Linked DNA regions of Caenorhabditis elegans. The protein of the gene in region 1 purifies or fractionates together with the protein of each later gene. This does not show direct contact. Each region holds a gene or a part of one and is shown on either strand. Other genes may lie near its edges.

What was found. The genes of interacting proteins can lie anywhere in the genome.
Region 2: the proteins of F48E8.3 (region 1) and Y23H5B.8 fractionate together in Caenorhabditis elegans (co-fractionation; one large-scale study listed by BioGRID). This does not show direct contact.

What each region holds. Positions count from the first base shown.
Region 1 is NC_003281.10:5,459,392-5,464,929, reverse strand, and holds F48E8.3 (fumarate reductase (NADH)), read right to left. Parts: upstream 3,552-5,538; 5' UTR 3,515-3,551; coding exon 3,368-3,514; intron 2,962-3,367; coding exon 2,037-2,961; intron 1,679-2,036; coding exon 1,554-1,678; intron 1,171-1,553; coding exon 886-1,170; 3' UTR 548-885; downstream 1-547. Other genes in the region: F48E8.2 (E2F-associated phosphoprotein), read right to left, coding at 372-532.
Region 2 is NC_003279.8:2,545,870-2,550,209, forward strand, and holds Y23H5B.8 (T20D4.11-like domain-containing protein), read right to left. Parts: upstream 2,531-4,340; 5' UTR 2,459-2,530; coding exon 2,252-2,458; intron 1,464-2,251; coding exon 1,335-1,463; intron 1,286-1,334; coding exon 1,097-1,285; 3' UTR 517-1,096; downstream 1-516. Other genes in the region: Y23H5B.3 (T20D4.11-like domain-containing protein), read left to right, coding at 72-284.

The DNA.
Region 1 (5,538 bases):
TTCGCCTAGGAATACTGTGTTTGTTTGATCAGCGGGATAGTTTTGAAATAAAACTTGATTTTTCGATGAAGTAGGGATATTTCTCAAAAATGATTTTCTATTGAACCAACATATTAAAATTTAGCTACAGTAACCAAAAAAGGTCGTTTTCTTTGAATACTTCTGCATGGAGTACTGTAGCAAGAATTTCAGCTGCGTCGGGGATTACTGCTACCGTAACCTGCGAGCGGTGTCTGATTTTTTTAAAAGGTGGAAACTTAGAAATTCATGTGATTTTAGTGAAAAATAGTTTTTTTTTCCAAAATTTTTACGCTGTGCATTTCCTTTTTTTGGCATTGATTACAATTTCTCCCATTTTCCAGTGTATTTACCTCACATCATCCTCTGAATCAAAAACTTCATCCCCAACAGCTCCACCGAGATAATAATCATCATCCATTTTTTCAAAAGCAAGTCTACGCATCGTTGCTGCGGTCACTTCATCTGCTGGATATTGGTCATCGAACGTCTCATCGTCATCGTTGATCATCATCGTCTGCCGCTTCTTCTGAAAATAAAACACATTTATTACCCAAAAACACACCACAATACGAAGAAGGAAACACGATAAATACGAGAGAGTGTGAAAATGAAGAGAAAATGAGAAATAAATATATGTGTAGAAGAACCCATAAAGATGCAAATCACAAGAAAAATAAAAATGCTGAATAGAGTAGTAGATATAATAAAAACATATAAAGTTGGTTGGAACTAGTAAATGAATCATTATCTACAGGGGTCCGGGAATCCCGGATCGCGAAAAAATGTTTTTTTTAACTGAAAATTTCTGAATTATACTGTAGAATTGAGCCACAAAACTGAGTTTTTTCTGTAAAAATATTCGAATTAGAGCTCGGTACGAGTCTCCGCAGCAGATTGAGCCGCAGATTTTCCAGCAATTCTGCCAAACACCACACATTCAAGCAGGGAATTTCCAGCCAATCGATTGGAACCATGAACTCCGCCAGTGACTTCTCCAGCGGCAAAAAGGCCGACAATTGGCTTGCCATGCTCATCGATGACGCGGGTGGCCTCGTCGATTTTCAGGCCACCCATGGTGTAGTGGATTGCTGGGACGACGATTGCTGCGTAGATTGGCTCAGTCGGAGAGATTGCAGACACTGGGAACACCTGGAAATGGGAAATTATTACAGTTTCGGTATTTTTCGGCTAATTCCGATGCAAAAATAACTTTGTTTTTACAGTTTCGATATTTTTTTTTGCTGAACGATATTTTTTTAATTTTGAAAAAAAATTTAGGCTTGGGAAAGTTTAAATTGAAAATAGATCGTCAAATATTCGGGGAAAGATTTTCTCGATATTTTTCAACGTTTTACTCAAAGTTTCTAATAATACAATTTCAGCACAATTTTTCCTAAATCTATGAATTTTAGTTTTTCTTTCACTTTTCTGATTTTATAAAGTCTGTTTTAAAAGTAAATGCAATTTTGATCAACTTTTCAGAATTCTTAGTCATTTTTTCAAGAATTTTAAAATTAAAAATATTTGAATACCTTTTTGCCGAAAGGATCTTCAGATTTTCCATCAAAACTCTTCTGATATTCCTCCAAAGTGGTTTTAATAGCTGATTCGTCGATACCCAAAGCCTTTGCAAGCTCCGCGGAGTTCTCGTATTTCGCTGAAAAAAATCAGATTTCAGAGCAATAATACAATTTTCATAATATAAAACTAAAAATTAAAAAAATTAATTTGAAAAAGGGAATTTTTAAAAATTTCAGAAATTCCGGAAAAAAAAATTAGTTTTGGATTTAAAATGCTTTTAAACTCCAAAAAAAAGGAAGCTGATAAAATTTTCGACAAAAAAATCTTTAAACTGGGAATTTTTAATACGAAGATTTTGTCGAACTTATTCTCGAGAAGTGTTAATGGATTTCGAAAAAAAAAATGAAATTTGAAAAAAATTGTTTGGGATTTTTCAAATAACAAACAACTAATTTAAAAAATGTTTTCCAACTTTTTCACAGAAAAAAACCTACCAAAGAATTTCTTAACAATCGAATAAAAATTGAAAGCAGGTCTGCCAAAAGCCTCAACATTTGCTTCATTCATAATCATAATCGCCGCATTTCTTCCAGCAGATCCTCCTTGGAAACTCTCTTCAATTGGCTCAGCGAGCTCAAGAATCTTTCCAGTTAAATAATCGCGTCTTCCCAACTCATTTCCAAATCTTTGTCCCTTTGAGTTAATAAGCAGAGCTCCTTTTCCACGAATAGCCTCAGCCGCCAGGAACTTTGTTCCTGCTGATGGATCTTTTGGATCTACAAACGCTGTAGGATGAATCTGAATATTTTCCATTCCAATAATCTTTGCTCCAAGAGCTCTCGCAATTTTCACACCATCTCCTTTAGCGAATGCTCCATTTGTTGTTGGGAATCCGAATATTTCAGCTCCAAATTCCTTGAGCAAAGTTTCATCAGCAGAGAATCCACCGGTTGCAAGGATTACAGCGTCTCCGATGATCTTTGATTTCTCTCCAGAAGCTGATGTTACAATCTCGATTCCCGATACTTTTCCATTTTCTCTCAAAATTCCAACCATTTTAGTCTGAGTCAAAAGCTTGAAGGCTTCTGGATTCTCCGATTGCTTCTCATTAAGCCTTGTTCTCAATCTCTTCATAATTTCGAAACCAGCTGGTATTGGTCGTCCTTCCTTTGGAGATGGAATCCAATGAGTACGTGGTACAGAATGCCCACCACATAGATTCACATCAGTCAGATCCACTTCAACTCCACGCAGAAATTCAACAGCATCTGCTGAATTAGCAGCCAGAATTTCCACAAGTTTCTTGTCATTTTCAGAGTCTCCTGCACTCAGAGTGTCCTTGACAAGAAGTTCCGGCGAATCTTTGATTCCCAGTTTCTCCTGAGTTTCGGTTCCAGCACCGTTGATTCCGCTGGATGCCTGGAATATTTTTTTCAAGAAGTGAGGATATTGGACACTTTTTTTAAAAATCACCTAGACTTACTAAAACATTTTACTGTAATTTGGCATACTTAATTTTGAAATTTTTCAGAACGAGAATTTGTTACTCTTTTTTTTTATTTCCAGCTTTTTCACACGATTTAACTGTTTTTAAATTTGAAAATTTCTTACAATCGAAATTTTTTAATTTATCATATTTTTTCAGAGACGTTTCAGTTTTAAAGGAAAAAAAACAGAATATTATTTTTTTTCACAATTTGCAACTAATAGTAAAATAAATAACTTTTTCAGAAATTTGGAACAAAAAAATGCGAGAAAATAAATTTTAACAATCGATATTTCCAGAAGTTAAATAGATTTTTTTCAAAAATTCGCAAGATCTTACCTTCGCTGAATTTCCACCAGTATTTCCCTCTCCCTCTACCAAAATCACACGTCCACCTCCATTGATAATATCCAGTGAAGCAGACAGCCCGGCGAGCCCACCTCCAACAACAACGACAGTTGGCTCAGCATGAAGCACAGAAGCCATAACTGTAAGCGAAATGAGCACCCGAATCATCAAATGTCTGTCAATGGGGAAATTTCAACAACGGACACAAAGGGAAATTATAGAAAATGATAGAAAATTGGTTAAAACCGCCGAAAAAATTAGACAGAATTATTTTTTAAAAACCCATTATTTATGGAATGTCTAACATAGGAGAAAAACCGAAAAAAAGGGAAAATATAAAATAAATTAAAGCTGATTTTTGAATAAATATATTCACATGGATAAGGCATCTGGGAAGCATGAAAAAAAAGTGATGGGGAAAAACAATCAATAATTCATAACCGTAACTATTCACATTTACTTTTGATCTAGTAGTATCGATACTACAGTGCTCCACATAATGATACGGCCACCCCAAATTTTGGTATAACTCAAAACTGGGTTGAGATAGCAAAACATAGTTTCTTGTGAAAATGTTCGCTGTACTAACTTACTTTCAGATAAGTATTGGAAATATACCTGAACCGTTTGTAAAAAAGATAAACCATTTTTTCATGAAAAACCATATTTAAAAAATCCACAAAATGATACGGCCACCCTTGGTTTTCGTTTTCTTTTTTCGTTTTCTTTGCAATTTTTTTTGCTAAACGTTAAGTTTCATGTTCGTTTGTGTTTTTACAGTTATGGGTCGTGGAATAACTTCAACTGACTGCGAAAAAGGACAAATTGTGCCAAATTATCTCAAGGCTTCTCGAATCGTCAGATTTTTCGTGATTTGGAAACTTTCGAGAGATATGATCACTCGATATGCTTCCAATCCTGCCGCTTATTGCACAAAAAAGTCTTCTGGTCGCACACCTTTTCTTTCTGTCAGACCCAAAAAAAAAACCGTTCGTCGAGCATCCAATTGAACAGTGACTTGCTCGAAAAGTAGGAGCGAGATGAACCTGGCAGTGTCTGTTGAGGCCGTACGACATGTCCTTTTGAAGTCTCAGTTTAACAAAAGACGAAAATTAAGAAAGGCTCCATTCATTACCAAAAAACCGCCAAAACCGTATTCAGTTTGCTAAAATCAGTCAGGGAACTAACTGAAGACAAGTGAGGATTACGGTATAATCATTCAAGCCCAGTTTTTGGTTTCAGTTCATCTTCAGTGACGAGAAAAAGTTTAACTGTAATGAACCAGATTACTACCGTGATTAGTGGCACGATTTGAGAAAAGAAAAGATGAACTGAAACCAAAAACTGGGCTTGAATGATTATACCGTAATCCTCACTTGTCTTCAGTTAGTTCCCTGACTGATTTTAGCAAACTGAATACGGTTTTGGCGGTTTTTTGGTAATGAATGGAGCCTTTCTTAATTTTCGTCTTTTGTTAAACTGAGACTTCAAAAGAACATGTCGTACGGCCTCAACAGACACTGCCAGGTTCATCTCGCTCCTACTTTTCGAGCAAGTCACTGTTCAATTGGATGCTCGACGAACGGTTTTTTTTTTGGGTCTGACAGAAAGAAAAGGTGTGCGACCAGAAGACTTTTTTGTGCAATAAGCGGCAGGATTGGAAGCATATCGAGTGATCATATCTCTCGAAAGTTTCAAATCACGAAAAATCTGACGATTCGAGAAGCCTTGAGATAATTTGGCACAATTTGTCCTTTTTCGTAGTCAGTTGAAGTTATTCCACGACCCATAGCTGTAAAAACACAAACGAACATGAAACTTAACGTTTAGCAAAAAAAATTGCAAAGAAAACGAAAAAAGAAAACGAAAACCAAGGGTGGCCGTATCATTTTGTGGATTTTTTATATGGTTTTTCATGAAAAAATGGTTTATATTTTTTACAAACGGTTCAGGTATATTTCCAATACTTAACTGAAAGTTAGCCAGTACAGCGAACATTTTCACAAGAAACTATGTTTTGCTATCTCAACCCAGTTTTGAGTTATACCAAAATTTGGGGGTGGCCGTATCATTATGTGGAGCACTGTACATTTAGCAAAAAAACATTAGCAACGTAGCCGCGGAAGAGAAAGCTCGGCCATGCCGCAAATACAATTCATAAA
Region 2 (4,340 bases), on another chromosome or scaffold:
TTTCTTTTTTACATAAGTTTGAATTTTGCGTGCTGTGGAGCGCATTTGCATTACAAATATATGATTTTTAGGCACAACTTCCAACATGCGAGTATTTCGAGGCTGACAATGAATGCAAGACAATGCCAATAGAAAATATATGCGGCCCCCGTGCCGTCAAAGAAATGCTGGATAATGAGAATTTTATTCGTGAATATTTTGGATGCAACAGGATCTACAAGCCTTCAAATAATTCTAGTAATAGCTTGAAAATCAAAATTTCAGGTAATCCTAATTCGAAATGAAGATGTTTGAAGAATGAAGGCAATTTTGAAACTTTTATATAATGCAATTTTGTGCTATCAACTAACTAAATGTTGACCAGATGACAACTTTTTCCTACTTCTCAACATTTTAGAGATAATCTCTGCAAGCATCTCAACAAGTCGGCCGCAGAAAAAAATGACCAATTTTTCATATATCGTTAAAAACAAGCTATCAGCTCACAAACTATCTCAAAATGGATGTATCGCAAATTTTGAATGCACTTTTTATTTAAAACATAAAGATGCACTATTAGCTAGCCCCTACAGTGGGGCTGAGCTCCTTTTGGGGCTGTGGCTGGTCTCCAGCCCCACTTTTTGACGCCGTCTGCGCACTTTCCGATAAATAGAAAAGAAATTAATCGGCGCAGAATGTGCGCAGACGCCTACCTAGTGGCACACAGGGTTTCGTTCGTTTTTCGCATATTGAATTTGTGGAATAAATATATAAATATAATAAATAAATAAATAATAAATAAATAATAAATAACTATAATAAATAACAGAGACAGTTTTATGATAGTTTGTTAGAATTTTAAAAATAAAATAAATCGTTATGGCCAATGTTTTCTTAATGTCCTGGTCATTTATAATTTCAACCAAGATCCCGGAAATCCAAACAAAGGAAATCGATACATCGAAAAATACAGAGAGTCCGCCCATATCCTGAGTTGGGCTTCGTTTCCCGGTTAAAGTTAAAATAAGGTTAAAAAAAACAATGAACACAATATAGGTGCTTTTCATTTGATAAAAAGGGGATCAACCCCCGCGAATCGGAATGTCGTTTGGATACATTATGGCTGATTTTCACAAGTCATCACTTTGACCTTATCCTCATTCTTCAACATATCCTCCCATGCTTCATCTCCGCATTGCTCTTGAACAACCCGTTGAAGCTCTGAAAACTCGTCAGGTGTCAACCAGCACTTTGGTTTATCCTCTCCAATCGTCGTGTTTTTCAGAGTAGTTACGTCGAATTTTGTCTGAAATAAAATGTTCTAGAGGATCTTTTTCGGAGAAGCTTGTAGGTACCTTTTCCATGCATTTACTGAATGGTCCGACTTTTAAGCCCAAGTCTTCACAGGCGGATCTCATGAACATTGTTCCGAATCTCAAAATACTTTTTAGTAGCTCTGGGATTTCCATTGATTCTACGCAGTTCTGAAAACTTTTAATTTTTTAAATATCAAAAAAAAACTAAAAGTGATGTACCAAATTTTGGGCGTGGCCTCTGATGCTCATAATTTTTTTGGGAGCCGTTAAACGGGCGTGGCCTTTCGTTCCGCCCACTTCTTGGTTGTGATCACAGAAGCTCTATCCAGTAGGCTTCCACGCAGGCGCAGAGAAGCCTACCTCGCCCGCCTTGTGGCGACCAAACCATTTTTCCGGAAATTGGTAAATTGGCAGATTGCCGAAAATTTTGGGCAAATTGTGCTTTTGCACAATTTTTTAAAGGAAATTTCAGAATTTCAATTTCAATCGGCAGATTTGTACGTACCTTATAAATTTTCCTACATATATTTTGAAAAGTGAGCAGATTCTATGAAAATATTTAAAGAAAACGGGAAAATTTTCAAAAAAGCACAGTTTTAAGTGTTTCCGTCTTATGAAAAAATCCCTTTAAAAACTTCCGGCAAATCGGCAAACCGGCAATTTGCCAATGTGCTAAATATTCCTTCTCGCCATTGTGTAGAAAAATGTTGAGAGGCCAGAGGCTGAGGCGGGCAGGATGAAGGCAGGCCCTGAAACCGCGCCTGCCTCCCATGGAATTTTTTTTGGCATTATTTGAAACGAATTTAATGTTCACAAACTACATTTGAGAAAAATTGGAAATCGGTGGCCGCAGAATTTCTAGGCCACCTACTACTTTTGCAGAAATTTTTTGTTGAAAATTCAATATTTTTCGAAACTCTATTTTTCAAATTTTTGCTGAAAAAAATAAAACTAACCGTTGTGTCAATGCACATATGATAAAATGTTTCCAAATTACCAATTTTCACATTTTTGCCGTGTTTCGTAGTTTCCAGCTTCAAATTATTCAAAATATTCTTCATTTTGTTGAGCTTCGTGAGACAATTTTCATAGTTTGTTTGTTGCCCGGAGACAATGGAAAAAACGAAGAAAGTCGAGAGAAGGAACAAGAGAATTTTGGCCATTTCGGTGTATAAATATTGAATAATAACAATTGAATAGCAGAAGAAGAAGAAATGACCTATCGAAAGATATATCCCTCGTCTCCGTGAAGATATATCTTCCCGGGAGATAGTCTCTGAAGTCGGGAAAACAAATATTTTGAGGTCAACGGATTCATATTTATTAGGTATAGAAATATCGATTTTTCCAATGGAGAGATGGGGAAAATCGACTTAAATTTTTTTTGTAGTTTTTTATCTGCCATCTATATTTTTTAAAGGGATATGCCAAATTTGTTCAAATTTTTTTCAGAAAAATTCAAAATTTCTGAGCAAAAGTTAGTGGGGAATTAAAATTTGAAACAACGGAATTTGGTGGAAAATTTAAATCTTCTGTGGCAAATATTGGCGGGAATTTCAAATTGTTTGAGTTAATGGGAGGGAATTCAAATTTTCTGAAACAAAAATTTTGGCGAGTAAATTCAATTTTTTTGAACAAAAATTGACGAAAAATTTTAATTTTCTCAGAAATTTTTTTGCGGGAGCTTGAAATCTTTAAAGAAAAACATTTGCGGGTAATTCAAATTTTTGATTTAAAAAAACTTGACGAGAAATTCAAATTTTCTGGGAAACTTTTTTTTTGGCGGAAAAATTGAATTTTCTGAGGAGAAATTAGTGTTGAATTAGAAAAAAAATTTTTAAACAAATTTCTGAAACAGAAATTGGCGGAAAACTTGGTCACACCACATTTTCTTAGGCCATCTGTGACGTCACTCCTCTTCCAGCCGAGATCAACAAGAGACCACTGTAAAAATTATCTAAAATTTTACTTAAAATTTATTTTTCAAAAATATTAAAAAGAAAAAAATTAAAATTAAAAAAATGTCAATGACCGTGCTGACCTTTCTTATCAAATAATCAAATCTCAACTCACGGGACCACAAATCTTGTTCGGCGAAAAATCAATTATTTCGAAATTTCGACTCTTCACAATGAGCTTGGATATGGAGCACCTCCATGGTGCCATGAATTACCGTGAGTTTAGGAAAAGTTGCCGATGGTTGCTGAGCGATCGCCGAGGATGTTGTCGGAGCATTGCCGCTTCTGTTGCCGGCGTGTCTACAAAAATCAATAAGTGTCATAATGGTTGCTGACAATCTTCAATAACTCCGATTTTATTGATTGCCGGTAGTCGCCGGCGGTTGCCGATAGTGGCCGGCAGCAGCCATTACTTGTAACAAATGGATTTTTTTTTCGATTAACGATAGTCACCGCTGACCGCCGGCAATGAAACTCTAATTTTATTGATTACTGATAGTCGCCGGCAATTAACAATAGTTGCCGCTAAGCGCCGATAAATCCAATTTTGCCGGTTCGTAATAGTTAAAGGCAATGGCGACAGTTGCCGGTAATTATCGATTGCCAAAAGTGCCGGAAATATCAATTTATCTCAATTTCCTTGTTTTTCAGTGTGTTTCGCTGCTGCTGCGTCAATTTCTGGAGCGATCATTGCCGTCGGCTGTACCACCGGACATCGTGAGAATTCGCGTGGTGGCAAAGGAAAATCGGCGAGATCAAAGCGATCGAAACGATCAAAACGAGACAAGAAGCAAAACTCGAAGAGACAACAAAACTCGAAACGACAAAAGAAGATTAAGGTGAGTGGAAGAGTTATTTCTCGGCCACTGTAACAACCATCTTTTCAGAGCAATTCTGCCGCTCCGGCACCACCGGCCAAGAGTGGAGTGCCTGCAAAATCGGCGGAGAAGGCAAAGGAAGGATCGCAGAGATCGGCTCGACTCAAGAAGGAGCAGAAGTCCGAGAAGAAGAAGGTTTGTGTAGATTTACGGAGTACAGTGTATATTTACGAAGCTCTTTTGTTTCAGAAGGAGTGATCGCAGAGATC